Regions from separate parts of the Mus musculus genome. Here regions 1, 2, 3, 5, 6 and 7 are each reported to be linked to region 4. The links are microRNA targets in miRTarBase. Many come from high-throughput screens and were not tested one by one. Region 4 holds a microRNA gene; each other region holds the end of a gene's coding sequence. Distances are from middle to middle.

The links. The annotated mature microRNA mmu-miR-10b-5p reads UACCCUGUAGAACCGAAUUUGUG and lies in region 4 at 1,706-1,728, shown strand. An mRNA with a match to its seed (bases 2 to 7 or 8) in the 3' UTR can be bound and repressed. Matches are read on the target gene's strand: a 7mer-m8 pairs with bases 2 to 8, a 7mer-A1 pairs with bases 2 to 7 and ends in A, and an 8mer does both.
Region 1: miRTarBase lists Syt15 as a target of mmu-miR-10b-5p. Seed matches in the 3' UTR shown: 7mer-m8 at 2,412-2,418.
Region 2: miRTarBase lists Siglece as a target of mmu-miR-10b-5p. Seed matches in the 3' UTR shown: 7mer-m8 at 3,579-3,585.
Region 3: miRTarBase lists Cdk7 as a target of mmu-miR-10b-5p. Seed matches in the 3' UTR shown: 7mer-m8 at 2,284-2,290, 7mer-m8 at 2,400-2,406 and 7mer-m8 at 3,885-3,891.
Region 5: the mRNA of Sox7 is a reported target of mmu-miR-10b-5p. Seed matches in the 3' UTR shown: 7mer-m8 at 2,748-2,754.
Region 6: the mRNA of Zbtb44 is a reported target of mmu-miR-10b-5p. Seed matches in the 3' UTR shown: 7mer-m8 at 1,487-1,493 and 7mer-A1 at 453-459.
Region 7: miRTarBase lists Elmo2 as a target of mmu-miR-10b-5p. The part of its 3' UTR that is shown has no 7-base or 8-base seed match.

The regions. Positions count from the first base shown.
Region 1 is chr14:34,227,418-34,231,595 of GRCm38, forward strand. It overlaps Syt15 (synaptotagmin XV), which reads left to right. Exons shown (of 8, transcript NM_181529.4): 8 at 622-3,004. The coding sequence ends at 764. Among named protein-coding and RNA genes, the nearest start is that of Syt15, 9.5 kb to the left of the region's middle.
Region 2 is chr7:43,647,614-43,651,791 of GRCm38, forward strand. Siglece (sialic acid binding Ig-like lectin E) reads right to left here. Exons shown (of 7, transcript NM_031181.2): 7 at 3,457-4,076. The coding sequence ends at 3,873. Ceacam18 (carcinoembryonic antigen-related cell adhesion molecule 18) reads left to right here. Exons shown (of 6, transcript NM_028236.1): 6 at 863-1,682. The coding sequence ends at 900. Among named protein-coding and RNA genes, the nearest start is that of Siglece, 10 kb to the right of the region's middle.
Region 3 is chr13:100,699,668-100,703,845 of GRCm38, reverse strand. Cdk7 (cyclin-dependent kinase 7) reads left to right here. Exons shown (of 12, transcript NM_009874.3): 12 at 340-4,178. The coding sequence ends at 368. Among named protein-coding and RNA genes, the nearest start is that of Cdk7, 29 kb to the left of the region's middle.
Region 4 is chr2:74,724,369-74,728,546 of GRCm38, forward strand. Mir10b (microRNA 10b) reads left to right here and starts at 1,702; the gene lies at 1,702-1,769. All of the region lies in intron 1 of Hoxd3 (homeobox D3), which reads left to right. Hoxd4 (homeobox D4) reads left to right here. Exons shown (of 6, transcript NM_010469.2): 4 at 1,095-1,610; 5 at 2,508-3,337; 6 at 3,894-4,178. The coding sequence starts at 2,911.
Region 5 is chr14:63,948,205-63,952,382 of GRCm38, reverse strand. It overlaps Sox7 (SRY (sex determining region Y)-box 7), which reads right to left. Exons shown (of 2, transcript NM_011446.1): 2 at 1,651-4,178. The coding sequence ends at 3,724. Among named protein-coding and RNA genes, the nearest start is that of Sox7, 6.6 kb to the right of the region's middle.
Region 6 is chr9:31,068,006-31,072,183 of GRCm38, reverse strand. Zbtb44 (zinc finger and BTB domain containing 44) reads right to left here. Exons shown (of 6, transcript NM_001115130.1): 6 at 1-3,439. The coding sequence ends at 3,429. Among named protein-coding and RNA genes, the nearest start is that of Gm17508, 12 kb to the left of the region's middle.
Region 7 is chr2:165,286,555-165,290,732 of GRCm38, forward strand. Elmo2 (engulfment and cell motility 2) reads right to left here. Exons shown (of 21, transcript NM_080287.2): 21 at 1,477-4,007. The coding sequence ends at 3,807. It overlaps Slc35c2 (solute carrier family 35, member C2), which reads right to left and starts at 1,284. Exons shown (of 10, transcript NM_144893.2): 1 at 1,230-1,284.

The sequences.
Region 1 (4,178 bases), not on the chromosome of region 4:
GGTAGTTGCTTCTTCCTCGTTCTGGGTGAATTGTCAGAGATGTCAGGCAGTTGGTTTCCTGTCGTGAGTATTGTGTTCTCTGCCTTTCCTCGTGCCTTCCGAGATGGCTGTTCAAGGTCCTGGATGGGTTATCCTTGCCAGTGGTCCTGCACAACCCATCCACTAGAATTCACCGTCACTAACTACGAAGCAAAGCCACTGGGCCATGGCTGTTCTTGTGCCCGATTTGGGACCTTTCTCCCCAGTGGTAGATGATGGGTGGACATTACTGCCTCATGCTCTTGCCCGGTGTGCAAGGAAGCAATGGAAGAGACCTTCCTCCTACAAAAAAAAAAATGCTTTCTCCCATAGCAATTCAACATGTCTGGGTTTCATGTGACCCGGGGCAGGGGTCGGGGCAGTGGGGGACAGGGCTGCAATGCAAGCTCTCACCTCATCTTCTTCTCTAAGGTCCCTGGGGGAGGGAACAGTGCTGGGTGGCTCAGGCTCAGGCTCAGGGAGGAGGGGCTTGCTACTTCCTCCCAGAGAGCAGGGGATAGGAAACAAAAGTCTGTGCAGACCTTAGGATGAGAGTACAGCTTCTGTATTTAAGGATGTGACAAAGCTTTCCCTCCCCTGCAGAGAGCTCCCCCCTGGGCCGCGTGGTAGTGGGCCCCTACATGTACACCCGTGGCAAAGAGCTGGAACACTGGGGGGAGATGCTTCGCAAGCCGAAGGAGCTGGTGAAGCGCTGGCACGCACTCTGCCGCCCCACGGAGCCCTGAGCCATTGTGTCCCCATCAGGATGTGCGACACCACACCGTGGACATCTCTAACATTCAGTGGTGCACTGTGGGGCTAGCCTGAGCTCATGGGTGTTCATGTGCAGGAAGGAAAAGGGATACAACCCAGTTTCAGCCAGTATCTGACCAGGAGCCTCTCCCAACCCACCTAACCCCTCCGGATCTGCAGGGCTCCTGATCATCAAGGTCATGACCTCAAACAGGATCTCAGAGATTGAGAACTGATATGTTTGGTGGAGCACAGCTGCACATGAATGGGAGCACAGCACCAGCTAAGTCTCGCCACCTTGGAAAGCTGGTGGTGGGTTGAGTCCACTGCTGCACTGTTTTTCAAGCTGGGCATTCTGTCTTCCACCCAGTAGAGTGAACTGTGGGCCACTACAGGGAGAGCCCTACTGAGCAGCCCAACCACATACCAGGAGGTCAACGAGGTGGTCGGCACAGCTTGCCACATATCTACTCCCTGGAGCCATATAACCCAATGCAGCCAAATTTGCATGACATCTTGAGCACAGCCATCCTCTTCAGGATGCCACACCTCAAGCCCCACTCCAGGTGATCTCTTGCTGGGTTTCATGGTTACCTGGTTATCAGAATTTGGGCATTCATTTCCTAACTCTTACTTTGGACAGGTGAATCCATGGGACCATGGTATTGTGCACAAGATCGATGACTGTGACAAGAGGTATAAACTTCATTAGGTCAGTGGTCCCCAGAATCAAAGTCGCTGTCACCAAATGCCCATTAGTTGATCTAGTGAGCAGCCACTGTGCCTGTTATTTCTCTGTGTGTCTGTACCCTAAGCTGCAGACAGGCAGACAAGACCATGCACTATACTTAAAGCTGAACTCCCTGCCTGTATCTCTCTTGTCGTCTGCAGTGAAGTGACGGGAGCGTTATCTGTGCCTCTTTAGGTCCACTTCTAATGGCTATCAGTACGCAAATATCAGTTCTGCCTGACTGGTCCAAAAGAACACACCATCTTATTTGTTTCTTTCTCTCTTACTTCATGTACATACTTTCAGAGTGACTCACACTGCAGTGGCTTCCAATAGCTACACACACACACACACACACACACACACACACACACACACACACACGGAGATTCTTGAAATAGAACTACAGTGTTTCATCTGGAACCTGGAGGCCATGGATGCCACCACACTCATAGTCCAGCGTGAGACTCGTGATTTGCAGTGGTTTTTCCCTGGATGACCAGGGAAAGTTGGCGGACTGGTACATCTGACAGGCCTCTGAGAAACTGTAATGGCAAGAAATCAGCAGGCAGTGTGCTCTGAGGAGTGACAGGAGGAGCAGCCATATTGTAGGGACATGTGTAGACTTAGAATGGCAAAGAGGCATGCAGGTTTTCGTGGGCCAGTGTGAGCTCGCAGGGGCTGTCTCAGATCCTGTGACTCTAGAAGAAAGTTTTACAGTCCCACAGAATATCTTAAAATAAGGTGATCAGTTTCTCAGAAAAGTATACAATTTGATCCAATTTTATTTAACACATACTAATATGAGAACCCTCTGACAAATGTAGGTTATTCAACTTTCAATCCGTTAGCATGATATGTTTATCCACTTGTTTTACTTTTTTGGTTTTTTGTTTGTTTGTTTTTTGAGACAGGGTTTCTCTGTATAGCCCTGGCTGTCCTGAAACTCACTTTGTAGACCAGGCTGGCCTTGAACTCAGAAATCTGCCTGCCTCTGCCTCCCAAGTGCTGGGATTAAAGACGTGCGTCACCACCGCCCGGCCACTTGTTTTACTTTTAATAAGAGGGTTTGGGGATTTGTAGGAGACAGAGGGGTCAAGGGCACGACAAGAAAACTTACAGAATCAACTAAGTTGGGCCCATAAGGGCTCACAGAGGGTGAACTACCAACCAGAAAGCCTACATGGGTCTAGCCTAAGGCCTCTGCACATATGATATGGTATAGCTGTGTAACTGGGTCCTTAAGTGGACAGCAGGGGCAGGTGCTGTCTCTGACTCTGTTGCCTGCCTTTTGGTCCCTTTCCTCCCACTGGGCTGTCTTGTCTGGCCTCAACAGGAGAGGATGCACGCAGACCTGCTACAACTTGATATGCCAGGCTTCCGTGGGAAACCTCCCCTTTTCTGAAGAGAAACTGAGGAGGAGTGAGTGGGAAGGGAGTCGGGGAGGGGACTGGGAAGAGAGGAAAGGAGAAAACTGTCAGATATAAAGTAAATAAATTAATTAATAAAAAAAAGAGAGAGGTTTGAGGTTTTTTGTTGTTGCTGCTGTTATTTGTTTGCTTGGCTGTTTGAGGCAGTGCCTTCTATTTAAATCTTTGGCTGGCCTGGGGCTCACTATGTAGACCAGGCTGGCCCCAACCTCATAAAAGATCCACCTACATCTGCTTCCCAAGTTGAAATTAAAGGCATGCACCACCATGTCCTGGTTAAGAGTTTATTTACATTCTAGTTTTAAATTTTGAATTTTCATAATGCACAGGAAAAATATTTTTCTAAACATCTTTGATGTTTACTGTATGTGCGATCTTAATTGTAAAAAATAATTGAAGCTCTGTGAAACACAAGGATCTTGTCTGTTTCTTTTGACCCGCATCATAGCTCCACTGTGGGGCTTCAGAATATAGCTCTGTGCACATCAGCATAGTACAAAGACAACCCATGTGTGAACCCATGTGGAAATAAGCTTTATAATTACTATACAAATCTCTGAAAGAACATCCTGCTATAAACTTGATAAAGCATCTTACAGATAGTAATCAAACATATAAAACACAAACTATAAGAAATGTTAGCTGTGAGGGCAATTAACTATAAAAAAAGAATTAAAAACCATATATTCTTCTTAGATAGGCTTTTATTTTCTGAAGAAGATACTTTTTAAAATGAAATAGGGCTAGAGAGATGGCTCAAAGGTTTTTCCAGAGGTCCTGAGTTCAATTCCCAGCAACCACATGGTGGCTCACAGTCATCTGTAATGAGATCTGGTGTCCTCTTCTGGCCTGCAGGCCTACATTCAGGCAGAACACTGTATATACAATAACTCTTTCAAATAAATAAATCTTTTTTAAAAATCATGAAATAATAAAAAACAGCTATTATAATAATTTTTAAGTTAAAAACCTTAAACTTCTGTGTATGTGTGGGTGGCTGCTTGTCTTGTGTGTACACCATATGTATGCAGGTGCCCAAGAAGGCCAAAAGAGGGCACCAGAGCTCCTAGGAATGGAGTTACCTAATGTGGGTGCTGGGAACTGAACCCAGATCCTCCCGAAGAGCAGCAAGTGTTCCTAACTGCTATGAGCCATCGCTTCAGCTCCATCAGTATGGATTTTAAAGAGATTATCAAAATCCAAATTCCCATGCTGGCATAGTGACACACCCCTTATAATCCCATCAT
Region 2 (4,178 bases), not on the chromosome of region 4:
TCGGTGATGGACTGTTATCTGGAATTGTTAACTGAAACAAACCCTCTCTGTCCCTACTTTGGTCTGGGTGTTTTATCACAGCAATAGAACTGAAGCTAGAACAGATGGGTTTTGCTAATTATTTTTTTTCCTGACATTAAAATAAATTAATATTAAAAAGCATGGGTGGAAATATTAGGAACGCTAGGCACCGAGGTTAAGCCCCAGGTTCATCTCTTCCACCGGCAAGTGTGTAGAGGGAAGATTTGGATCACTTTATTTATTTCTTGTTGCATTAGGTGGTTAGTGCTACTCAAAATCGCCCCATGGCCATGGCACCATGAGTTTCTTGCTGCCACCTCAGTGTTCTGGATTCTCAAATGAAAGACACACATGTAGCCTTCTATTTTAATATGTCTTAAACAGCTCAATGGCTGTGCCACTCCCAAACTTTCATGTTGTTAACACCTCCCTTCCGATATTCCTGAGTTATTACTTACTAAAATCTATGTTCTATCTTTGTTACCCTAGACCCAATGGGGAGGCCCTGGGGTGCTCTTTCCTGGCTCTTATATGACTAGTATGCTCTCTCTTCTGATGCTCTCAAGCCTGGATCTTATTCCTTTCTCTGCATGGCGATCCTCTTCCTTCCTCTACCTTGGTTCCTTTGTCTGAGAATCCTAAAGTCCTGCCTATGTCTCCCTGCCCAGCTATTGGCTGCCAGCAACTTTATTTACCAATCAGAACCAACTGGGGGCAGGGACTCAGTGTCTCGAGTAATTTGAGGAACCCAGTTAATATAAGCGTTAAACCAAATCTACAATAATTTCTTTCCCAGGATTTTATGAACACAAGATGTGACTTCTCTCATTTCGTCCCACAGGAAAAACTTGTCATAAGTGTCCATGGCAGACCAACTAGGCAAGGAGATGATGGAGAGAGACAAAGGAGAATGAGTCTCCTGTGGGGACCGGCTGAACTGCACCAGCACCAGGTGTCTCTGGAACATTCCAGGAAGGGAACCATCCCAGGTTTAGTGAGCTGAAGAAATCTGGGCTTCTGGATAAATTGGAAGACTCCCTGTGGGACCTGGACAAGGGGTGACATCACAGGGAGCCTGGCCATTAATACCATCTGCTAATCAGAGCTGGCCAAGCTGGGGCAGATCGTGTAAGAGCTCCAGGATCTAATTCTAGGCACCGCCCCCCATCCCCCCAGTTTCCAGCTCCACATCCTTACTCTGACACTAGGGGATCTTGAAAGATTCTTCAAAGATGCGCAGATACCAATGACAGAGAAATGAAGCCATTTTAAGTTCAGACAACTGGTGTCAGTTGCTTAAATGGGTCCTACACACAGGTTTAAGAAGCACACTGGTAGAAAGGCTTCTCAATGAGGAAGGTAGTTGCCTTCTAATTATAGATGAATACACAAAGCTACATCTGATAGGGCCACAGAGGCACAGAGATGGGGTCAGAAACAGAAAGAACAGATCAGGGGCTGGAGGAAGAGTATATACTGCCTTTGCAAAGATCCCAAGTTGGGCTCCCAGCACCCATGTTGGGCAGCTCACAATCACCTGTAACTCCAACTACAGGTTATCTGATGCTCTCATCTGAACTCAGCATGAACTGCATTCACACACACACACACACACACACACACACACACACACTTGAAAATATATATGAATATATAAGAAAGTATGTTGTATATGCCCATGATCCCAGGCTTTGGAAGCTGGAAGCAGGAGGTTCGGGAGTTCAAGGTCATCTTAAGCTACATAGCACGTTCTAGGACAGCCTGGGGTACTTGTGACCCTGTCTGTTTTAGTTAGTATTCTATTCCTGTGAAAAGACACTGTGACCATGGCAACTCTTATTTTAATCGGGGCTGGCTTACAGTTCAGAGGATTAGTCCATTACCATCATGGCAGGAAGCATGGTGGTAGACAGGCAGATATGGTGCTGGAGAAAAGCTGAGAGTTCTGCATCTGGATAGGCATGGAGCAGGGAGAGAGGGTGACACTGGGCCTGGCTGAGCTGCAGAAACCTCATAACCCTCCCTCAGTGACAGACTTCCTCCAACAAGTGTATACCTCTAATAATGCCACTTCCTATGAGTGACATTTTCATTCAAACCACCACACTGTCTCAAAAAAAAAACCCAAATAAAAAAGTATAGATTAATCAACAATGATAGGCACAAATACAGATTCAGTCCAGTTTTATGTTCACATGCAAGTGAACATTTGCAAAAATGTTAAGTATTATCAGTATTTCCTCTTACGTTAGAATCTTCTTTATGTTTTGCTCTCAAGTGCTTTTCTCTCACAAAGTATATGCACTGTTTTTAAAAACCAGGAAAAAGAAACCGAGTTAAGGCACGTTTGGCAGCCCCTCAGTATCCAGCACTGCTATCTGCACTTTCTCTGAGCTACGTTCAGTGGTGCATCACCAATAGCAAAGCAGAGTGGAGCAGCATCTCTGCCAAATTGTCTGTCTGTCTGTCATCTTTTTTTCTATCATCTATCTTGTATCTACCATTTACCTTTTATATAGCATCTATCTTCTATCATCTATCTACCTTTCCATCATTATCTGTCATCTCTATGTCTCTATTTTCTATCATCTATCTATATATCATCTACTAACCCTTTTCTTTCTGCTATCTATCTATCTATCTATCTATCTATCTATCTATCTATCTATCTATCTATCATCCATCTAGTTTGGGTTTAAATGTACATTGTCCCCAAAGGCCCACATATTTGGACATTTGGTATCCAGCTGGTCGCAGTATTTTCTAAAGCCTTGCGATCTCTCAGACATGAGGCACAGCTTATAGAAGTGGGTGTCTAGGACTGGGCTTGGAAGATGATACCTACATCTAGTTCTGGTTTGAGCCTGCTGCTTCCTGATTCATCAAGATTTGGAGCCTCCACTACATGTACTCACTTGAGCACCATGTTGCCTTCCTCGCCATGATAGACTGAAACCATGAGCAAGAATAAACCTTCCTATCCTTCATGTTTCTGTCAGCATCCTATCAACAAAGACAAGAAAAGTAGCTAATACATACAACATGAAACCATAAAGGGATTGTTTGGGGAGAGAAAGGAGCCTAGCGACTAATAGGATGCTAACAGGAGAAGGGGATGAACATGGCCAAAATATGTGATACACTTGGAAGAAAATATAGCAAAGTCTATCACTGTGTAAATAATATATGCCAATTTTTAAGTAAAAATTAGATCTAAAACAGTCAATCTTATTACTGGAGAGATGGCTTAGTAGTTACGAGCACAGGCTACTCTTACAGATGTCTGGGTTCAGTTCCTAGCACCCATGTGGCCTCTCACAACCCTCTGTAACTCCAATTTCAAACTGTCTGATGACCTCTTCTGGCCACTGCAGGCAGGAGGCATGTAGGTGGCGCACAGGCCTGCGTGCAGGCAAAACATTCACACACATACAGTTACAATAAAGTCAAGTGCTGGGTGGTGGTGCACATCTTTAATCCCAGCACTTGGAAAGAAGAGTTCAAGGGCAGTCTGGTCTGCAGAGCAAGTTCTAGGACAGCCAAGGCTACACAGAGAAACCCTGTCTTGGAAAAAACAAAAGGAAGAGGGGAGGAGAGGGGAGAGAGGAGGAGGAGAAGAGGGGGCGGGGAAGGAGGGGAAGGGGAGAAGAGGAGTAAAAAGGTCAAGCTTATGATTCCCAGGGCACAATAGCAGTTGTGTGGACAGGGCAGCACAGGGGCATGGGCAGCACAGAACGCCTGTGTCACAGAAGGAATGGCTCTGAAGCCCTGTGTATCACATGTCAACCTAGGTGACTCTTTCCTTCTCCAGAGCCAGCCTCCTGGGGCCACCATGCTTTCTCCAGCCACGGTCATGGCCATGCGGTCCTTTGTGGAAACTTTATCTCTGAGTACTCCGTGGTAGTGTCCTGTTGCCCCCACAGGTTCATGGGCTTCATCTCGTGAAAGCTGAGGGTCGCATAATGTATCTCTTCCTCTGTGGAGGAGGGGGCCGCCTCAAGTATGGAAGGCAGGGGCTCAGAGCTGTCATCTGCCTGGGATTCAACCAGGGGATTCTGTAAAGAGAGGAAAGGAGAGAGTCAGAGAAGACAGCAGGGGCCCCTGGAACCCCACATCTACTCACCCGCAAACATTTTAAATTTTAAATTGCATATATG
Region 3 (4,178 bases), not on the chromosome of region 4:
TTGTTTTTAACTGTATTATTTTGAAATTTTTTGTTACTTTTATGTGTATGAATATTTTATTTGCATGTATGTCTGTACCACATGTGTGCAGTCTCTGTGAAGGCCAGAAGAGGGCATCAGATTCCTGGGACTGGAGTTACAGATGCTTCATGCTGCTGTGTGGCTGTTGGCAGTTGAGCCCAGGTCCTCTGGGAGAGCAGTGAGTGCTCTTAACTGCCAAGCCAGCTCTCCTGCCCTCTGCCCAGCGGTTCTTACTCTGTGTTAATGGTTAGCAATGCCTGTAAGTTAGATAATGCTCTGGAGTACAGTGAGTGAACAACCTTTCTGTTTTACTTTCAGGAATATTGCCCAAGAAGCTCATTTTTTAGTTGCAGCGAACAATGGACAGTTTCACTGCTGAAATAAATGATCCAAAGGCAAATAATGGAAAAAATAGTGAATATTAAATGCTATAAGAGAGAACTTGTAAATATTCTACAGATGTAAAATATGTAAAACTACGGGTTATTTTTATTAAATGTATTTTACAATAAATATTTGTGATTTATGATTAGAGTACAAGGATAACTGCAGTCTCTAAAATGTAATTGACAGTGCATTGGGAGAGGCTTGGCATGCGATTCCTGGTTATTCTGCAGCTCTGGGTGATCTGCCACTTTAAGATCATTAGGTATAGTATTGAAAACAGAAAACAATACTGTTAGCAGTTTTGCAAGAGCTTTAGCCTACTTACTACCCAGAGTAAGCCCTGAAAAGATGGCCCTGACGCCTCCCTGATGTCCTGTCATCTCGAACTCACTACGCTCCTCCTGCACGCACAGCCAGGACCTTGGCACTGCTCATCCCATTCCTTTGACCCTCCCCCAAGGAAGAGGCCTCGGGGAGATTTGTGTTTGTCTTCCATGGTTTTGTACTGCTATCTTCAAAGAGTTCCATCTCACCTTATGGCAGCCTATGCCTTTGATCCTAGCATGTATGGAAGTGGATCTCTAAGTTTGAGGACAGCCTGGTCTACATAGTGAGCTCCAGGCCAGCCAGAGCTACGCAGTAAGGTCCTCTCTCAAAAAGCATAAATAAACAAAATAATCCTACTATAGCTCATACTATTGCTTTCTGTTTTTTACTTAGAAACTTTCTTTCCATATTAATAGATCTAAATTGAGTTGATTTAATTACCATATGATAATATAGTACATAAATAGTGTAATTTACCTGTGCTTTGTTTATGGACTATTATTTTTTTATTGCTGTATAAATTTTATCATGAACATGGCACGAATCGCCAGGCATAGTGGTGGTTTGTCCCTGTCCAAACTCGGGAGGTAGAGGCAGTTGGATCTCTCTGAATTCAGCCTGGATTCAGAGTGAGCTCCAGAGCTACGTAGTGAGGACCAGTTTGTGTGTAAAGGTGGTAGAGTATGTCCTACCATCTATGAACACCTGGCACTGTAACACATTAAAGTAACTAAGTAGCATGGCTCAACTCCTTTACAAGTGTCAAGCAAGCCTGAAACAAGGGGACAAGGTGTTGGCCATATGAGCATTCCTGGTGACCAAGGAGGCCAGAAAATGGCATTGGATCCCCTGAAACTGGAATTTTGGATGGCTATAATCCACCACGAGGTGCTGGAAATTGAACCCAGGTCCTCTGAAAGAGCAGCCAGTGCCTAATTACTGAGTCCTCTCCCACTGCACATGAACTTTCTGTATGGAACCTTTGGGTGAGCAAAACCTCACTCCTATTCTGCATTCTCCTTGAGTCTTATGGGGATTCAAAAATTATGATTGATACAAAACTCATAGAAGAAAAACTTTACAAAATTATGTAATACCCGTTTGCATGGGGCCAGGTTTGGCTGCTCGTGCCTATAATCTCATCCTTGTCAGGCTGAGTAATGACTGCCTCAGATTTAAGGCCAGCCCAGTTACAAACAGCTCTATGCCAGTCTGTCCTCAAAGCAAGCCCCACCCATCTCAAAAAGCAAAACAAGAATAGTTTTTGGCATGGGAGCCTCACAAAGGCATAGAGAACCTGTTAAGAATCAACTACTGAGCTGGGTGAGCTAGGCAGGGGCAGAGAGGTATCTATGAGTTTGAGGATATCCTGGTCTAAAAAGTAAATTCTCAGGCAGCCAGGGATATACCATAAAACCCCGTCTCATGAATAAAGACAACTACTTGTTATATTAGGAATGACTAGTAAGTAAAGAAAAAGTGCTAAGGCAGAATGGCTTGGTCCAGAAAGTTAGCTCTAAAGGGAAACAGCTGGGGAAATAAGGATCAACAGGGTTGGTTATGCAGACTTCAGCATCGTGCTCGTCCTTGGGGCTGAATAGGCATCTTTTTCCCCACAGGGAAAAAAATTATTTTGGTTTTTGTTTGTTTGTTTGTTTTTTGAGACAGGGTTTCTCTGTGTAGCCCTGACTGTCCCGGAACTCACTCTGTAGACCAGGCTGGCCTCGAACTCGGAAATCTGCCTGCCTCTGCCTCCCAAGTGCTGGGATTAAAGGCGTGCGCCACCACGCCTGGCCCCCACAGGAAAATTTTAATCTCTCTCTTTATTAACTTTTTATGTGGATGAGTGCTTTGCCTGCTTGTCACATGTGTGCTGGTACTTCGAGTTCAGAAGGTGGCAGTCTCCTACAGTTATGTGATTGTGTTCTAGGTAAACCTGGGTCATCTGCGAGAGCTACAATGACCCATCTTTTAGCCATCATCTCATGCTTTAAGAACTGCACAGTGATTATTTTATCTTTTGTGTGTTTGATAAGCATGCATGTGTGCACTCACTCCACAGCACATGTATGTCAGTGGACAACCTTGTGTCAATTTTTTCTGCCAGTGTTTTTGGGGGAAATATGTCAAGCCACTCTGCTTGCCCATGAGTTTCCAGAGACCCTTTGACCTTACTGTAGAGCCCCGGGAGTGCAGATACATGCTCCTCTTTATACTCACTGGTTTTGGGGTGTCTTTGGCAGAGTAGTGTATCTTTTTTTTTCTTTTGGGGGAGGAAAGGGTTTATTCGGCTTACACTTCCATACTGCTGTTCATCACCAAGGAAGTCAGGACTGGAACTCAAGCAGGTCAGGAAGCAGGAGCTAATGCAGAGGCCATGGAAGGATGTTCCTTACTGGCTTGCTTCCCCTGGAGTAGTGTATCTTTAACTTCTGAGCGGCTCAGTTGTTGCTCTGTTGCTATGATACAGTTCTCTGACAAAAGCGCCTTAAAGGAGAAAGGCCTCATTTTGCCTTAGGATTTCCCTTGAAATTCAGTCCACCATGGTGGAGGAGGCTGGTTGGTCGCACGGTCCTTGTACTCAGATACAGAGAATGAACAGGAGTAGGGTGGAGCTAGACAGCCTTAAAGCCTACCCCAGTGACCCAGACAGAGTGACACTTAAGCCTGCGGGGAACAGTTCACATTCAAACCACAACAGAGGTTTTAGGCAGAATCTGCTACCAAGCTCACACAGTGTTTGTAGTTTTGGACAGGGCTGTACTGGAACTCACTATGGTCTTGAACTCAGAGCTCACCTCCCTCACCTCTCAAGTGATGAGACTAAAGGTGTGCACCACCAAATGGCCTTCTTATAGTTCTTAGAAATTGTTTGGTGCTGGGATCAAGCCTAGGGCTGTGCACATAACTGATGCACACTGAGCCACAGCCTGAGTCCCAGCTCTTAGTCCTAATAGAGTGCCCTGTTGCCCAGGCTTTTGGTGCTGTTACCTCTAGGCTTAACTTTTTTCTTTCTTTCCTACATGCCTAAGCAGGTTATCTCAGGCTAGCCTTGAACTTATCCTCCTAAGGACCCCATTTAGGATGATGGGCATGCTCCATCACGCTAATGCTTGTTCTTCGTTGTTGTTTGTTTTAGTCTTTTTAAGACAGGGTTTCTCTGTGTAGCTTTGGCTATCCTAGAACTTACTCTGTAGATGAGGCTAGCCTCAAACTCAGAGATCTGAGTGCTGGGATTAAAGGCGAATGCCACCACCGGCTGGCTTAACTCTTGGGTTTTTAACATAGCTCACATTTCTTTTACTGTGTGCTCACTTTCCACAAATTAGCAATAAGTATGATTTTCAAGTCTGATTTTTCTCATGGGCCACTGTTTTAAAATGCCTTTGGTTGGGGGTGGGGTAGAAACAATGTCTACCCACCTGTTCAAAGGACAAACAAGA
Region 4 (4,178 bases):
CAGAGAAGCTGAGACTGGGCTCAGGGCCAGGTTTCTTTGCTGGGCCCCTGGTGAGGCTGAGCTAACAGGGAAGTGAAGACCTTTACAGCTTGTAGTTCCTTCTATGAACCAGGCCTGCACACAGTGAACCAGGCTCCATGGTGAAAAATCTGGACTCCCCAGACTTTCTCTGGCCTTGCCCCTGCCCTCTTCCTTGGCACCCTTGGCTGTGAGGGCTCATCTCTGCTGAGGCTGCTTGCTTGCTGGCGCCTTGTAGCTGCCCACAGCACAAAAAGCCGGAGAGATCAAAAGCATTTGTATGGGCAGTTGAGAGGGAGGTGAATATTTAACGCTTTTGTTCATCAATAACTTGTTGGCTTTGACCTGTCTGAACAAGTCGAGCAATAAGGTGAAATGCAGGTCACAATGTCTAACAAATATGAAAATGTGTGTACTCATCTTGGTCCTCACTCAACCCATCGGACTTCCCCAATTTGTCTGGGTAAAACAGAGGTAGGCCCAGTGTCCCCAGAAAGGCCTGTCAACGTGTCCATGGGTGAAAGGGCTGGCATTAGGAGAAACTGGGGAGAGTCTTTAAACAAACGGATTTTAACCCCCTTTTTTTTTTTTAGAACTGACACCTGGGAAATCCCTGCAAAATAGTGGAAGTGAAAGATGGTGGGAGGGCATGGAAGGGCAAAGTACAGGGTCAAAGTGAGCACCTAATTTTGCCAGATATGATGAGGGGAGTCTCCCTGCCCCACCCCATCAAAATCAAGGCATGGGGCTTGAAAGTGATTTTTCGAATTATATAGGAAGGGATCAAAACAATACTTAGAAATGTGGACATCTTCAATCTGTTATCAGGCATCCATAAGCTCGGCCCAGGCCAGGGCATCCCTCTGCCCCTGAAATCAGCCCAGCCCCAGAGTGCATCTGGGCTCTTGATGCCCTGAATTGAGGGGCAAGCCCAGGACAGCGGAGGCGCTGGGGCGGCGAAATTCGCGAACTTTTGTACTCTTCTGTGCTGCTGTCGGCAAAGCAAAAATAATGAAACTTTGTGATATGTTTGTAAATGATTTCGAATGACCCCTCGCCCTGCCCTTCACCATTAGCTCGACAGTCTCAGCCCAGGGAGGCTCGGTGGCCGCAAACAGCGCCTGCCTCCGGGTCTGCAGCAGCAGTCATAGCAGCAGCAGAAGCAGCAGCAGCGGGATCCGAAAGTCCGGCGGGGCTGAGGGCCCAGAAAGGTAAATGCTCGAATTCTAGGAGGACTAGCTGTGACCACTCACTTGGCTTAGGTTCTGGTGAAGACTATTCCTTTTGCCTTTTTCAAAACTCCCTTTCTGCTGCTGAGGGCCTTTGCTTCTTTTTGGGAAATACCACTTGATAAGGGGGCGGGAGATTTGGGTTCTGAGAAGGGGCAATTAAGCCGCCATCTCTGGGGTGAAAAAAAAACTCCCCTTCTTTTCTTTTCTTTTTTTTTTTTTTAAGAAGAAGAAGGTCCTGGCTGCTCAGCTACTTGGTGGCCCCCATCCTGGCAAGCCGATGAGGGAACTCATTGCTGTAGCGAGCAGCAATACTTAGAAATGCACCGAGCCTACCTGCACCATCTCTGAAAGCCAGGCTTGGTGAGTTCCTGGTGGCTGTGCTGAAGAGATCAGGTCTGGCAGCTGCCTGAATGTCTGCTCTGGGTAGGACCCGAGGTTGTAACGTTGTCTATATATACCCTGTAGAACCGAATTTGTGTGGTACCCACATAGTCACAGATTCGATTCTAGGGGAATATATGGTCGATGCAAAAACTTCATATATCTCCGACATGGCCAGAGACTGAGGCGCGGAGAGTACTGGCAGCCCAGCCGGCAAGCCACCTCTTTCTTTTTCATTACCTTAGACTCCAGGATGATCGACTTTGCCTGGTGAAATTGTACAGCCTTTTCCTGGAGAAACTCCTATAGATATTCCAGTAGGTGCTCAAGTGGTTGTCTGAGTGTAAAGCCAGAGAGCCAGGTTTTAGGGTATTAGAGAGTGAGGTGAAAGGCCAGAAAGCTCCAGCAGAAGCCCTGCTCTGAAGGAGCATGAGACACAAAGGTACCCAAATGGGGCTCACCTGCCCTTGTGTGGGAAGAAGACAAACTGAAAGATAGGCCATCGGAGACCGTTGGGGTACATTTAGGCAAGGTTAAGGTCCCCCTCCCCACCATCCCAATATGACCCAACCCCTCAGCCACCAGACTCAGAACTGTGAGGGCCTCCTGCAGAAAGATCCAACTTCAACTAGAAACACCCCAGCCTGCGCATTGGCAGAAAAGCATAGTGGTTACTCATTGCCTAACTCAATTCAGGTCCGCCAGATTCTGGTAACTTTTGGGTGACCCTGATGAAGACAAAGCCAAGACAGGTCTTTGTATGTCAGAGTCCAGGACTCCTGCCAGCTGGCCGGGCAGCCTGCCTGCCTGCCTAGGACTCTACCCAACTCGGAGGCCACATTGCCCACACTCATTCTTCCTTATTTTGCACCCCAGTAGGAGAATTCACTCTTCTTTGAACTATGTCCATTCTGGGGGCTGCTTCAGGCGATGGTGAGTAAGGAGGGCATGGGAGGTTAGCAAAGTCAGTGGAAGACAAAAGCCGAGATTACCTGCCGGAAATTGGGACCCCGGGGATAGAATTAGAACTCTATTAGCATCTGTCAGGGACTCTCAAATGTGGCATGGCAAGTCACTTGATTACACGTATGTTATTTAGTTAAATTTGTGAAAATTATGAGATGCTCACCAACCCGGTGATAAACATGCTTTCTTCCTATTGGCTGGCCTGGTCACATGGCCGCCCAACTTTATTCAGTTGACAGCAAGTAGGAGGGCCCAATGGAAGGAGAAAAAAGACAACACGAGAAAAATTAGTATTTTCTACCTTCTGAAATTAATGGCCATGAGTTCGTATATGGTGAACTCTAAGTACGTGGACCCCAAGTTTCCTCCGTGCGAGGAATATTTGCAGGGTGGCTACCTAGGCGAGCAGGGAGCCGACTACTACGGCAGCGGTGCACAGGGCGCCGACTTCCAGCCCTCGGGGCTCTACCCACGGCCCGACTTCGGCGAGCAACCCTTCGGAGGCGGCGGGCCCGGGCCTGGCTCAGCGCTGCCCGCGAGGGGTCACGGACAGGAGCCGAGCGGCCCGGGAAGTCATTACGGTGCCCCGGGAGAGCGGTGCCCAGCGCCCCCGCCTGCGCCCCTGCCTGGCGCTCGGGCCTGCAGCCAGCCCACCGGCCCCAAGCAGCCGCCCCCCGGGACAGCACTCAAGCAGCCCGCTGTGGTCTACCCTTGGATGAAGAAGGTGCACGTGAATTCGGGTAAGGAGTGGGGGCAGCGACCTCACAGCCCTCCCGCACCACTCCTTGCATCTTTTGGCCTGCACCCCCCACCCCAGGGGTTGCGAATGGGTAGGGGCTTGTGCAGCTTCCTTGGGCGCCGCAATTACTCTCTCCATAAATTTTTATAGCTGAGGGAGCAGGCCGGGACCATGTGGCTGGCTGCTTGGCTGTGGGCGCAAAAGGGGGTGGGGATGGGGATGGGGTGGGGGGAGGACTCCATTTCCACAGCAGAGGGAACGCAGAGCAAAACAAGGACCTTTCCAAAATGTTGGCGATACCGAGCTCTTGGTGGGCCAGTGGCAAGGGAGAACCTTTGAGGAGGACCTGTGAGCGTGGGGAGTGTGTGCATGGAAGGGCTTGGGTGGGAGTGTGTGTATGTTTAGGGAGAGGGCGGGAGGGAGGAAGCTGGCCAGCTTGGAGCACAGGGGGGGCCCGAGGGCTGCGAGACGCGCCAGGAAGTGAGGGCAGAGGCAAGCCTGGGGCCTAACTAGTGGCCGGGCTCTGACCTGGCTGTCTTGTATGTTTTGTCTCATAGTGAACCCCAACTACACCGGCGGGGAGCCCAAGCGCTCCCGGACGGCCTACACCAGACAGCAAGTCCTAGAACTGGAAAAGGAATTTCATTTTAACAGGTATCTGACCAGGCGCCGTCGGATTGAAATCGCTCACACCCTGTGTCTGTCTGAGCGCCAGATCAAGATCTGGTTCCAGAACCGGAGGATGAAGTGGAAAAAAGACCACAAACTGCCCAACACCAAGGGCAGGTCTTCTTCCTCATCTTCCTGCTCCTCTTCAGCTGCCCCGGGCCAGCATTTGCAGC
Region 5 (4,178 bases), not on the chromosome of region 4:
TGAAGTTTGTATAGTTGGCAGGAGATGTAATGGTGGGGGTGTGTCTTAGAGAAAAGAACACAAGTGTTTCCCTTTCTACAACATTTGTGAAAATAAAGACTGCCCTGCACATAAGCAAGTGGGAGTTGAAATACAGGGCTCCTCAGCCACAAAGTGGGTCACCTTTGTTGTTCACTGCTTAAGGAACAGGAACAGAGATCTTAAGGCAAAGAGTGACATGGGAACGTCAGCATTTTAGAAAAACAACTTGCTGTCATGGCTTGTCATCCTGTAAGATGACATCAGTCACATTGTAACCTGAGTACCACAGGCAGGGTGCACAGGTAGCTGGGACCCACAGAGACTTTGGTTCCCACAGTGTCCCACTCAGAGCAGAGAACCCTCCTGCCTTCTTGTCGTCTCATCGGCATGGACAGTGTAACCACACTGTGTGTTACAATGATGCATGCCCATTGGGCAGTGCCAAGGGGCATACCTTGACCAGATACTGCCAATTCAGAGCTCAGTATAGCCAAGGATAGTACCTCAGTGCTCTCTGCATATGGCCACCACTGGCCAGGTGCAGAGCATCACGGCTCTGTGTCATCTCAATTGTCACCCATAATTGCTTTCTTCTTCTCTGGCCTGAGATGGTCATGGATTGAGGAGCAGTTGAATCCATGCCCCAGTGAGGCACAGAGAATGGAACCAAGGAGGCTAAAGAAGGGTTTCCACAAGTCCAAGGCTAGTCTGGGCTACCTAGTGAGTTCCAGGTCAGTCTGAGCCACAACATGAGGCCACATCTCCAACACCAAAACCAGGACCAAGGAGAAGCACTAAACCCTCAGCCATGAATGCTCCCAATGAATGCGCCTCATGGGTGCTGAAGCCAACATCCTAGGAGGGTGGCGAGTCTCACGCCATCTCCCACTCGGAACTGTAGTGTCCCTGGCTGTGTAATGTGGTGGGAATGATGAGGCCCACCTGGGCTGTGGATGAGAAACAGTTCAGAAACCTTCTCTAACACTCCCAACAACAATGAAGTGCTACTGAATAATGGGTGTGGGTTATGATCAGCAGAGAAGGATGTGCAGAAACCCAGGAGGGCCCTCGTTGGCCCAGAGGAGCATGGGAAGGGGCATGGCTACCTTTGACTTAAACAAGTTCCTTCTTTACATGAAGAGCAGCCCATATTAGGTGCCATACATGGGACAGAGCCAGGCTGATTTTCCAGGAGCTTTTTTGACTGAGCGTGCATCCTGGACTTTCCCAGCTGTCTCAGACCTTGATTCCAGGCTGTGTGCCTGTCTCCCCGACAGCATGTTGTCCAGTCCAGAGGGCCACTGCATACTGCTACACCACTCAAGTAGGGGAGAGGACAAGATGGTCATTTGCTTAGACTTGGGAAGCGTGCAGTTACTGAATAGGCATGGAGAAACTGCTCATGTGGGTTGCTATGGCTTTCCTTTTCCAATGTCAACAAAAACAGCACTAATGTGTAGAATCGAAGTTTGTCTTTTCAGCACAACTCATAAAGAAATTTAAAACCCTATATAACAAAAACTCCTTAAAATAAAAAGTCGACTCAGAAAATAACGCAAACAATATTACAGGTAGCACTGAGACCTAGTATGAATTTAAAAAAAATACTATTTCAAAGGATAGAATGGTGAAGGTACAAAAAAATTTATTTAAATTAAACATTTTGAAAAATCAATTTCATAACTGTTCCATGCATATTTAGTTTTCTTGAAAAAATGGAACAGAGTAGCTTAATGCCTGTGATAGTGTTTCACGAGATTATTAATATCCATCCGGGACTGGGCACCAGTCAATTACATCATCAACAATTCACTATTTGTTACCAAATGGTATATACAGTAATAGCATAAAGATTAAGTATATCTTATAAGTGATATTATAATAAGACTTCTTGGGGATCTGTCAACAATACAAAATATAAGGTGGACATAATAGCAGAATATAAAAACACATTTCATAAAGGCAATAATATACACGTGTCCAAGGGCAGACAAGAGTCTGTTAGCTCAGTGTTTGGTATGTTCCTTCAAAGGAGGTTTAGAGAATGGAAATGTCTGGGGTGCGACCAAAGCTCAGAAACATCTTTGGGTGTCACAGGGTGTTTGTTTGGGACAGCCAAAGGACTGTGGGATAGGTGATTGTTCTGATGTATCCACTTGAGAAACAAGAACCAAGTTCCCTTCACGCCCAGGGGAATGGTGCCTGGGATTCCAAGCGAGGGGCCCTTTGAATTAGGGGCCAGTTTGGAGGGAGAGTAACAGAGAAGAGAGAAAAGCCCTCCTGGGAGCAAGGGGCAGCAGACATTGGGCAGAGAGTCATCTTTTGCATCTGTAGATAAGAGTATGCTACAGCTCTGCTCTAGAAATCAGCACACCCCAACACTTTTGTGGACAGACGTTTTAGGTTTCTAGCTCTCTGGTTCATTCTGTGATGAGGGGATGAGACATTGTCACAGTTGAGAAGAATCTAAATCAGGGTACACACCTGGGGCACAGTGTTGGGAATAGGCATGCCTGCATAAGGTCATTTCTCACACTGTAGTCGCCTGAGATGTATGTAACAAAAATAATGTATCTAAAGTATATATTAAAAAAAAATCCAGGCTGGGTGTGGTGCCACTCACCTTTAATCCCAGTACCCAGGAGGCAGAGGCAGGCTTACTTTTGAGGTTGAGGCCAGCCTGGTCTACACAGTGAGTTCCAGGGCAGCCAGGGTTACACAGAGAAACCCTGTCTCAGAACAAAACAAAACAAAACAAAACAAAACAAAACAAAACAAAACAAAACAAGTTCTAATCTGATTTTGCTTTCAGTGATGCAGTTGAACATACTCATTAATTTTCCGAACCAGGGTAGATCTTTTCCTTTAAAAAAATTACATTTAGTGTGTGTGTGTGTGTGTGTGTGCATGTGAGCATGCTCAAGCACACATATAATGCAGGGGCACACGTGCATTTGGAAGTCAGAATACAACTTGCAGGAGTCAGTTCTCTTCTTCCACCATGTAGGCTCCGGATATAGAACGTAGGTCATCAGACTTGGCAGCAGGCAGTCTTACCCACTGAGACATCCCACACCATCTTGCCAGACCAAAGGTGAATATTTTTCTCGACTGAAGGAGTTTCTTTGGAATTCTAGGGTGGCTGTGGACAGTATTATAGGAAAGCAGAAAACCTGGGTCCTTGGGCAGTCATTCATTCATACTTTCCTTGGCCTTGAGAGGGCTGTAACTTGGAGATCCATAGAGCGAGGGCTTGGCTATGAAGCCAACCCTCACTGTACAGGAGAGAATAGTCAGGGCTGGTCAAGCCAGAGTGGGGTTTTGCCAGTTAGAGACTGAACTGAGATGGACCCCAGGCCCAGGGTCCATCTTACTGGGAGCACCACAGATCAGAAGTAGCTACACCAAAAGCAGGAGCTCCAATGCACTGGGCTTCTTCCCATCAGCTACACTGATGGTGTAGAGCGGCTAGGAAATCCTACTGCAAACAGCTCCCAAGGCTGTGCTTCCTTGATGAAGCCGACAAAACACATTTAAAGGGACAGAAGGAGCGCTGGATCCTGGCTTTTGACCGGAAGGCTCTGGAACAGCAGTTTTGACCTCTTGCCACCAAGGAGTGGCATCGCCACAGTTTCTGCTCAGCTCAGTGCTTCATAGGGAGGAGGGGATGGCAGGGCTGGGCCAGGCTCCATTCCTCCAGCTCTATGACACACTGTAGCTGTTGTAATACGTGGCCGTGGCATCAGCCAGGACTGAGATGAGGCTGGTCTCTGTAGGGCCTGTGGGAGTCCCCTGGGAGAGCGGGACATGCCCAGTGAGGGTTCCAACCCCTGCAGCAGAGTCAGGGTGGCCGGGAGTGTTCAAATACTGATCAAATTCATTGCGATCCATGTCTCCCAGAAGTTCCACCTGGCTTAGCTGATCCAAGGTGTCAAAGCCAGGGTGCTCCGGAGGTGGGGACAGCTGGCCCAGGTGGGCCTGGAGGTTGGGGTGGAGAGGGTGGTAGGTGGCATGGGAGTAATAGGCTGGAGATGGGGGACATCCAGAAACAGAGGACATCATAGAAACCCCTGGGGATTGGCCAAGGGCTAAAGAACCTAGAGGGTGGCTGCAGTGGAGGGGACTAGGTGTGAACTCCGGTGAGTAAGGGGGCCCTG
Region 6 (4,178 bases), not on the chromosome of region 4:
TGAAATTAAACTGAAAATAAAAATTAGGATTGTTTAAAATGGCCAATTAAGGGAAGTGGATATTAACATTTATCTACATCCATTTCTTGAAAAATTTAAACGCATAAAGTAAAGGTTACTGTCAAATTTCTGTTTCTGAGTTAGTGATTTCCTGACATTACACTCTGAAGGCTAGAGTTTGGAAATGCAAAGACTGACACGAGGAGCTACGACTCCTGACAACACGGGAAGAGCTTTGCTTCTAAAGCACATCCTATCTATTTGGTAGTTGGAAAAAAAAAAAAAAAACTGAAAACAAAGCTTTTCTTATATAAAATGCTTTGTTTTTTAAAAAGTAATTTATCTAGCATTCTAAAATTTAAGCCCTTTAAATATCACAAAGGTACCCTTGTTGGCCTTACAAAAGATAGCTACCTTTAAATATTCTAAACAAGAATGATTCTCTGTTTAGTTACCCTGGTGATTTCTATGACGGGATCGTAACTGGCTTTCATCTCTTCAATGTTTTCCATATGTTCTGGTGAAAAGTATACATCTAGGCATTCCTCTCTTAAATCAACTTTAAATAAACTTTAAATATTACTATATATACAATTATCTCTTGCAGTTGTATTTCCTATAACAGACCCATAAACAAAATATCCTTAAAAATGTAGAGTCTCATTGGAACAGAAAAAAGCCTTTGTATCATTTTATATTAAACACTGGTTAGGTAAGTTTATTAAAAATGTTTGGGTAGTAGGCAACTAACCATTTGTGCATTCATAGTATATTCAAATCTGTCACTAAGGTTGGCTACAAGCTTTGCCACTAGGGATAAAAATCCACAGGGAGGTGTGTCCTTCACAGGGAGGCTGCCAGGGCTGTCCTAACACACGACTCTTAGGATAGAGTAGACTCAAACACTTTCAATCAAAACAATCTAAAAAGAATTCTTCAAATCAATTCATCTCTGATTTATTCTCATTTCTTTCTTCCTTTTACTTTTTTCTAGCTCTTAACAACAAAACAAAACAAAACAAAAAACAAAAAAACCAAGACAAAACAACCCAATTTAGAACCAAGAACATTTACCATACTAAAATAGGATTCTAGTGAGTTTTAGGATTTCTTTATTACTAGGCACAGTTTTCAAAGATCATGTATGATAAAAAAATAAAAATGACTGACTTTCCTAGTTGGTTTTTCTGAAAGCTACCCACCTATGCTTGGGAGCAATCAGCCATGAGTCAGGTAAAAAACAACTGGGACTCAGGGTGGGGGTGTGACCAGTGACAGGGCACGTGCGCATCATATACAAAGTCCTGGGTGCAATTCTCAGTATCAAGAAGAAAAAAGAACAGAGATAGAAATTAAATTTCAGCCGGGCGTGGTGGCGCACGCCTTTAATCCCAGAATTTGGGAGGCAGAGGCAGGCGGATTTCTGAGTTCGAGGCCAGCCTGGTCTACAAAGTGAGTTCCAGGACAGCCAGGGCTACACAGAGAAACCCTGTCTTGGAAAAAAAAAAAAAAAAAAAAAAAAAAAAAGAACCCAAAAACAAAACAAAACCAAAAAACCTACAAAAAACCAGAAATTAAATTGCAGAATTAATAAATTTTAAAGAAACAAATTACTATAATATAAAAAGTAAGTAAGGTTTGGCATTGGGATAAAAGTCAGATCAGGTGTTTGACTAAGACTATAGTCTGATCTGGGTGTGGTGATGTGTGTCTATAATATATAATGGTAGCAAAGGTTGTTGGGAAACTGAGGCAAGAGGATGATGAGTTCTGGACCAACCTGGACTACCTATGATCCTGTCACAAAACAAAAGAGAGTGTCCAAAGTCAAACAAACAAACAAACAAACAAACAAAATGTTGTTTTTATCTTCTAACCCCATCAGGGGCTATCATAACGATAAACATTGGGGCTATTTTCTATATAAAAAATTACACAAAAGTTCATTACTCGTGGCTTCATAAATATTTTAGATCAAAGAGGCTTTAATGGCAAAAGATAAAAAAGTATATCCCAATCTAGAATATCATATAAATGTTATCGTCTGAGTAGCAAAGTTTTTAAGATTCTGGTCTTAACAATCCCTCCCTCCATGTCTGAGTCACAGATGATCACTCACAACCTCGTCGTATCTTTTACATTATTGCTTACATCTCGTGAAAGCTTTTAACAAACTTGGCAATACCTCAAAATATTTTGGAATAAGGACATTATATTGTTGTCATATGTGACCTTGTAAACAATCTTAATTGGGTTAAGAATGTAGCCTCAAAACAGAATTCTTTTATTTTGTCCAAAACAGCACAGCATCGACATCCTCAACAATACATAAACCTATATATAAAATATAGAATATCTTCACTATTTCTCCTTTATATGGCAGCACAATAGTATATGCAAATGAAAGTGCTGTTGGTGGGACACGAGGACACTTCTCTGAGCAATGCCCTAGTTAGCCAGGTGTCAGCATTCAATGACCAGGAAGAGAAAGTCTCAGGAGAGTTTCTGCAAAGCTGGGTATACGTACCTCGTTCTGCACCCTGCCATTCCACATGCAGCCTGACTCTTCTCAACCACACCTCTTAGCCTCTGGAGTGGTGCTATAAAGGTACAGGAAATACCTGCCTGATACTAATTTTTCACTATGAAAATTCAAAATGGCTTAAAAAAGAATATACTGGATTTCAGAAGTTATTTACCTTCATCTGAAAAAAACAAAAACAAAAACAAACCCACCACAAATACTTCCAAAACTACAGGGTTTATAACACCCTGCACTTAGGAGTACACATTTACTTAGGCCTTGTCAAACTGTTTAATAACTTCTCATTAGCCCTCTTCTCTCAGGAAGGTCAACCACAGCCTGAGTTCTTTTGTATCTGCTGCTGCCCACTTTTAACAATGGGAGGAAGAACTGCCATGTTCTAAGTCAGCTGCTTTTCCTTAAGTCTCAAAGTTTATGTTCTGTTTCAATGTTACCTTATTGTATACATACAGAAGCAATCTCTCAGCTATGAAAAAACAAAACAAAACATAGAACCCTCCAGTTTTAGGGTTTACAAAGGGAACCCTTCTTTAAAAATTAAATTAAATTTAAACATATGAGACCAAGCACAGGCACTTTCCAAAAAACCAAACCCCAGGCCAATCACAGAATTACTCAATAGTTATAGCAGGCAGCTCTGCCTTAGGGGGGTCATCCCTGGGCGCCTCAGCAGGAGCACTGGTCTTTGGCTGCTCATGCAGTTCCTCCTCCTTCTCTGTAAGCCCACCAAGAGAGCCCAGGGGAAAAGTGCTTTCACAATTCTGGGTTGAGGAGACCTGTGAAATCACAGGCATTTGAACAGAAGAGTTGCTTTCAAAAGTATGTTCTCCAAGATCATACTGAACAAGGGTCTCTTCTTGCTCCTGGTTTAAGTAGTCCGGTACTAAGAAATCACTAAATGAGAGGCAAAGGATAAAATACAAAATTAATTTTCAAACTATAATAAAGAGATATCATCTATAATACAAGTCTGGGGCTTTTCATTTCACTAATTATTCAATGAAGTTAATATAAATAAGCTTTCCCAAATATCAACTGAAGCCATTCAGTAGAACCAATGTGCATCCCACCTCCCTATGGGCAATAAAAAAGATTAATGATCACTTCCAGTGATTCTCTGGACACTTCAAAGGCCTTTCTGGATCTACATATAGGAGTCTGTATATAATGTGAGTGGCATTTCACTAAAGCAAGCATCATGTGACTAAGCCGAGTAAGAGGTTTATATAGACCTAGCTCTGTATTTCTTTTGTAATACCTCTTTGTAGAGGTTAGCTAAGAAGCTCAGTCTTTATGCATGCATGACCTTACATACATTTACTATAGGAAGTTGAGAGATGTAGAAATTAAGTTTTCACCTTACTATGTATGGAAAAAGTAGTACACTTTACTAAGAATTTGGAAAGAATCTCCTATCACACCTGGAGTGACCACTTAATAATTTGAATATTCAGTAGTAATGGACAAATTAAAATCTGTCTGTCTGCAAAGTAACTTCTAATGTCTTGTGTATATTTCCTAAAAAGTCTTCAAGGGTTAGAGAAGAGTAGTGTAAGATACAGGGTCCTATATGGGAAAGACACACAGGAGTGGTAAAACTGGACTATTTAATTCCTCAACAACTATGTCTAGT
Region 7 (4,178 bases), 91 Mb from region 4:
TCTGCTCACGAAACTGACAGCTTCCTCCTCAGAGACCTAGCGGGTGCAACTTGCCACAGTCTCTGGAGTCTTCCTTCTTTCTGACTCATTCAGTAAGCACAGATGCCTGAGGGCTGCAGCCCAGCCTCTCTTTGCCGCCTTCATTCCCAGCCCACCACGACCAACCCCGTAACTCCAGCCGACAGCTCAACCTCAAGGTGCTGCAAGGAGCTACCTTAATATTCCTCGGGTCTTCATCTGACTCTCAAGTCACTTAGAAACGGCCAACCGAACAACTGTTTTCTTTGGCAGAAGGCAGTCAGCACCAGTGAAGCCATTGCTGCCTCCCTCGGCATCCCTCATCTCCTGCCTTGTCAAGTCCACCTCTAGTTATTCCTTGACCCACCCACTTCTCTTCACTTCCTCTCCCACCACCACACACTACACCACAGTTTCCGTTCACCTACTGCCTGCACTTGCCTGCAGTCCACAAGGAGCCAGAGACTGGTGGAATGGTTAGTGTGGTCAACCTGACAGAAGCTAGGGTCACCTGGGAGACGGGCCTCGGAGCATACCAGGAAGGGATTGATTCTCTTGATCAGGTTAACCGATGTGAGGAGACCCAGGTAGCTGTGGGCAGGAACTCCTGGCCTCCATAAAGAAGGGAGAGTGCACTAGCAGGCACTGATGGCTCTCAAGATTCTATACTTCAGAACTGTGGAAACGACGTGGCCAGCTGCTTCAAGCACTTACTGCCCTGACTTCCTCACGACGGACAGCACCAAGAACTATGGGGGAAATAAGCTCTTTCTTTCTTTCTTTCTTCCTTCCTTCCTTAAGTTGCATCAGGGAAAGAAACTAAGACTGCCGGTCCCAACAGACCGGAGACCCCGGGGCTGGGTCCGCAAGTTCTCCCTGGATCCTGCCTGCCAGCTGCAACGCCACGTACAGCCGTGTGCCCGGAACATCAGCCGGCGTCCTCCTCGGCAAGGCAACCTGATGCTCTCTGCTCTGGTCCCCTTCCCCAGGACCCCCATTGCGCGTGGCACTTAACACCGCGTGACGACTGTGTTTGCTCACGTGTCCCTGCCGCGCCTGCTCGGCAGTATCCACCTGGTTCCCCCCATCCCCAAGACCCGGCCCCTCGTACGTGCTCGGCGAATGCCAGGCGAACGGGCCCAGAGCCACTGGAAAGCTGGGGAAACTGAGGCCGGGCGAGAAGGCAGGGGACCGCCCACACGCCCACTTACCTCCGCCCAGGCTCTCGCCGGGAGCCTCCTGCCGGAAGCTCGAGGTGGGCACTGTGCCTCAGGAGGCGAGACTTCCGCCGGAAGTCGGTGGGGTGGGCGGAGCCAGAGCATCTCTAAGGCGGCTACAGCAAGCTTCCCAACACGGTCCCTCTGTACCTTTCCCTTAAACGGGCACCAGGAACGAATCACAGCTACTAATAACTCTGTACAGGGCTTATTTCTTCAGGGACTTCAAGCAGCAGGGAAATGACATGACAACCATTAAATTTTATTAGTAAAACGTCCTGGCAAAGTGATAATGGACACTTTGTGACATTGCGTATGCCTATAAATTTGTGAGAATTATTCAATAGGCTGAGTACGTGAAGTTCATCGCAGAGGAAATGGAACCCAAAAGGAAGGGGGTAAGAAGGATCTAGTCTTACCGGGAGCCCAGGGAAGCAGGTTACAGTGGCCGCAGAACACCAATTTAGCACACCTGGATTTGACTCATTTCAGGTACAGAGTATGTGGGCAAGATAACCTCTAAGCCATGCAAGCTAGGGCTGCAGACCCGAGCTGGCCCAGTTCTCGGCGTCTGCTCATCCGGGCTCTACTAGGACTGGCTGCAAACAGGAATCCTTGCACATGACTTGGCTGGGCTCCTGGCTCCTAGCAGAAGGCTCAAGGCCAGCGTGTAAGCTGTGCTTTGTGCACACTGCTGCTGTAGGCTGTTGCCAGCTGGCATCACGAAAGCATTCGTTGATTCAATGCTTCCTGAGACCTACAATGGTGCCCATCGCAGCCCAAGGTCTTGGCTTCGTTCAGCCCTCAAAGCCTGCGTTGCATGCACTTTCTATGCCTTCTGAAAGCGCCTGTCCTCACCCCCTTCTGACTGAGGCAAGGGGAAGTATCTATTTTCATCACTGCCTTCATTCAAACCTCCCAGCTACCAAGGCTGCTGATGGGAGCACCAGCTTAAAGCACCAGCTGGCAAGCTGGGCACTAACTGCAGGCAACATGCGGGGTGCGGAACATGTCTTCTTTGAAAGGCACAAGTACTCGAGCTGTTCCCTGGCTGTGTCCCTGGCAGGGGAAAAAGGGAGGATGGGTTCTTGGGGGTGTACAGTATGCCTTTCCACGTTGTACCCAGCACGACTGAGCAGAAAACGCTCTGTCCTGTAGCACAAGCTGTGAGCATCCTTAGCCAGCAGGTGTGAGTAGTTTGCGCATGACAAGAGCAGGAGAGATGAGGGGAGAGGGAGATGCTCTCAGAGTGGCTGGGAGCTCTCCACATGCTCCCAGGCACACTGAAATGAAGGCTGTCAGGCCGCTCCTCACCCTTGGGACAGGGAATAAGTGCAGAGGAAGAGGTGTGGATAGGAAGCAGTCTACATGAAAGAGTATTTATTGAAAACACATCACTGACAGGAAGCTCCTGGCTGCTCTCTGGTTACACTCACAGCTCATGACTGAGAGCACTACAGTTTTGTTCTTGATTTTATTTTCCCTTAAACATTCTATCCTAAGATAGGAAGATCTTATATAAATATATATACATGTCTGTATAAGTATGGCCTATAGTAAAGAAAATATATAGTACACTCTTCACTGGGTAGTACCCACCATGCCAGGCTACCAGTACTGAATACCACCATGGTAACATGCGTCCAAGGAAAGAGGCTGTGCGCGTGGGCTTCCAGTGCTGCAGCACCAATGAAGGCCGTGGCACAGCTGTGGCCCCAGCCGCTGTGAAATCATGGCTAATGGCACAAACCACAGCGCCAGGAAGGGGAGAAAGGGAAGGCAACACCCCTGTCTGAGGCAGGAGGGAAGCAAACGGAGGGGCCTGTAACTGAGGGGGCATGGGAATATTGTGCCTCAGCAAGGAAGAGAGAGGACTGGAGGGGTAGGGGGAGCCAGAGGCCTCAGCCTGCCTTTCCCTGCAGTGTTCATTCCTAAAGCCTAAGAGAGCAGGACTCAGGCTGGAGGCCTCTGCCTGGCCAGGATGAGGCTGAGGGCTTGGGGCAAAATTACTACCTGTCCTGATACCTGCAAGGACAAGAGAGACGGGTGTCTCTAGAGACTAGACATGGTAGGGCCAAACCCCAGAGGCAGCAGCATGAGGCACAGGACGAGGCTGGGATGAGCCCTCAGAGACCTATTAAGCAGGAGCTCAAGGCCTGTTCTTGCCTGAGCCACCTGAAGACAGTCACTCCGAGGCTCTCACCGAGCTCCCCAGGCCTCTTGCCCCCATGGTCAGCCTTTCATGGACCAGCTTTGGCCCACATGGGCTCTCCAACAAACCAGAGAGGAGACTTGAAAGGAAAGGGGATGGCTGTCAGTAGGTCCAGTACCAGATGCAGATGTGACGCAGAGCGGGAGGCAGGAGCCTCATGAGTTCACCCCTCCAAGCCCGACCCAGGCTCTGTGGTGCTGAGGAGGGCAGCATGCCCTGACTTCATGACTCCTGGTGGATGGGACAGAGAGAAGCTCTGGGTCCCACTGGCTCTGAGGAGTAGTTACCACAATCACTACAGAGTTTGTACAAGTGGCGTGGGCTGCCAGTGTCTCTCCTGGGCCCCAGTCCCTTCCCGCTCAGCCATAGTGATAGACGAAGTCATAGCTGCTGGGCTCCTTGGGGACCGGAGGTGGCGCCTCGGGGATCTGAATGTTCTCCAAGTCCAGAAGCCGCAGCTTCATCTCCATGCTCAGCAGCGTGTCCAAGTCGCTCTTGGTTAGCTCGCTGGACATATCCTTCCCCAGGAGAGCGCTGAGTCCATCAATCCAGATGCAGTACTGTGGGCAAGTTGCAAAAGTGACACAGTGGCCCTGGGGGCTGCAGTGGGACTCACAGCAGTGCTGTTGGGTACCATTCAAAATATGCAAAACTCATGGGAGACAAGAGCAAGGGAAGCAGGAAGATGAGCATCATATCAACTGATAGTGTCTGGGGGATTCATGTGGGAA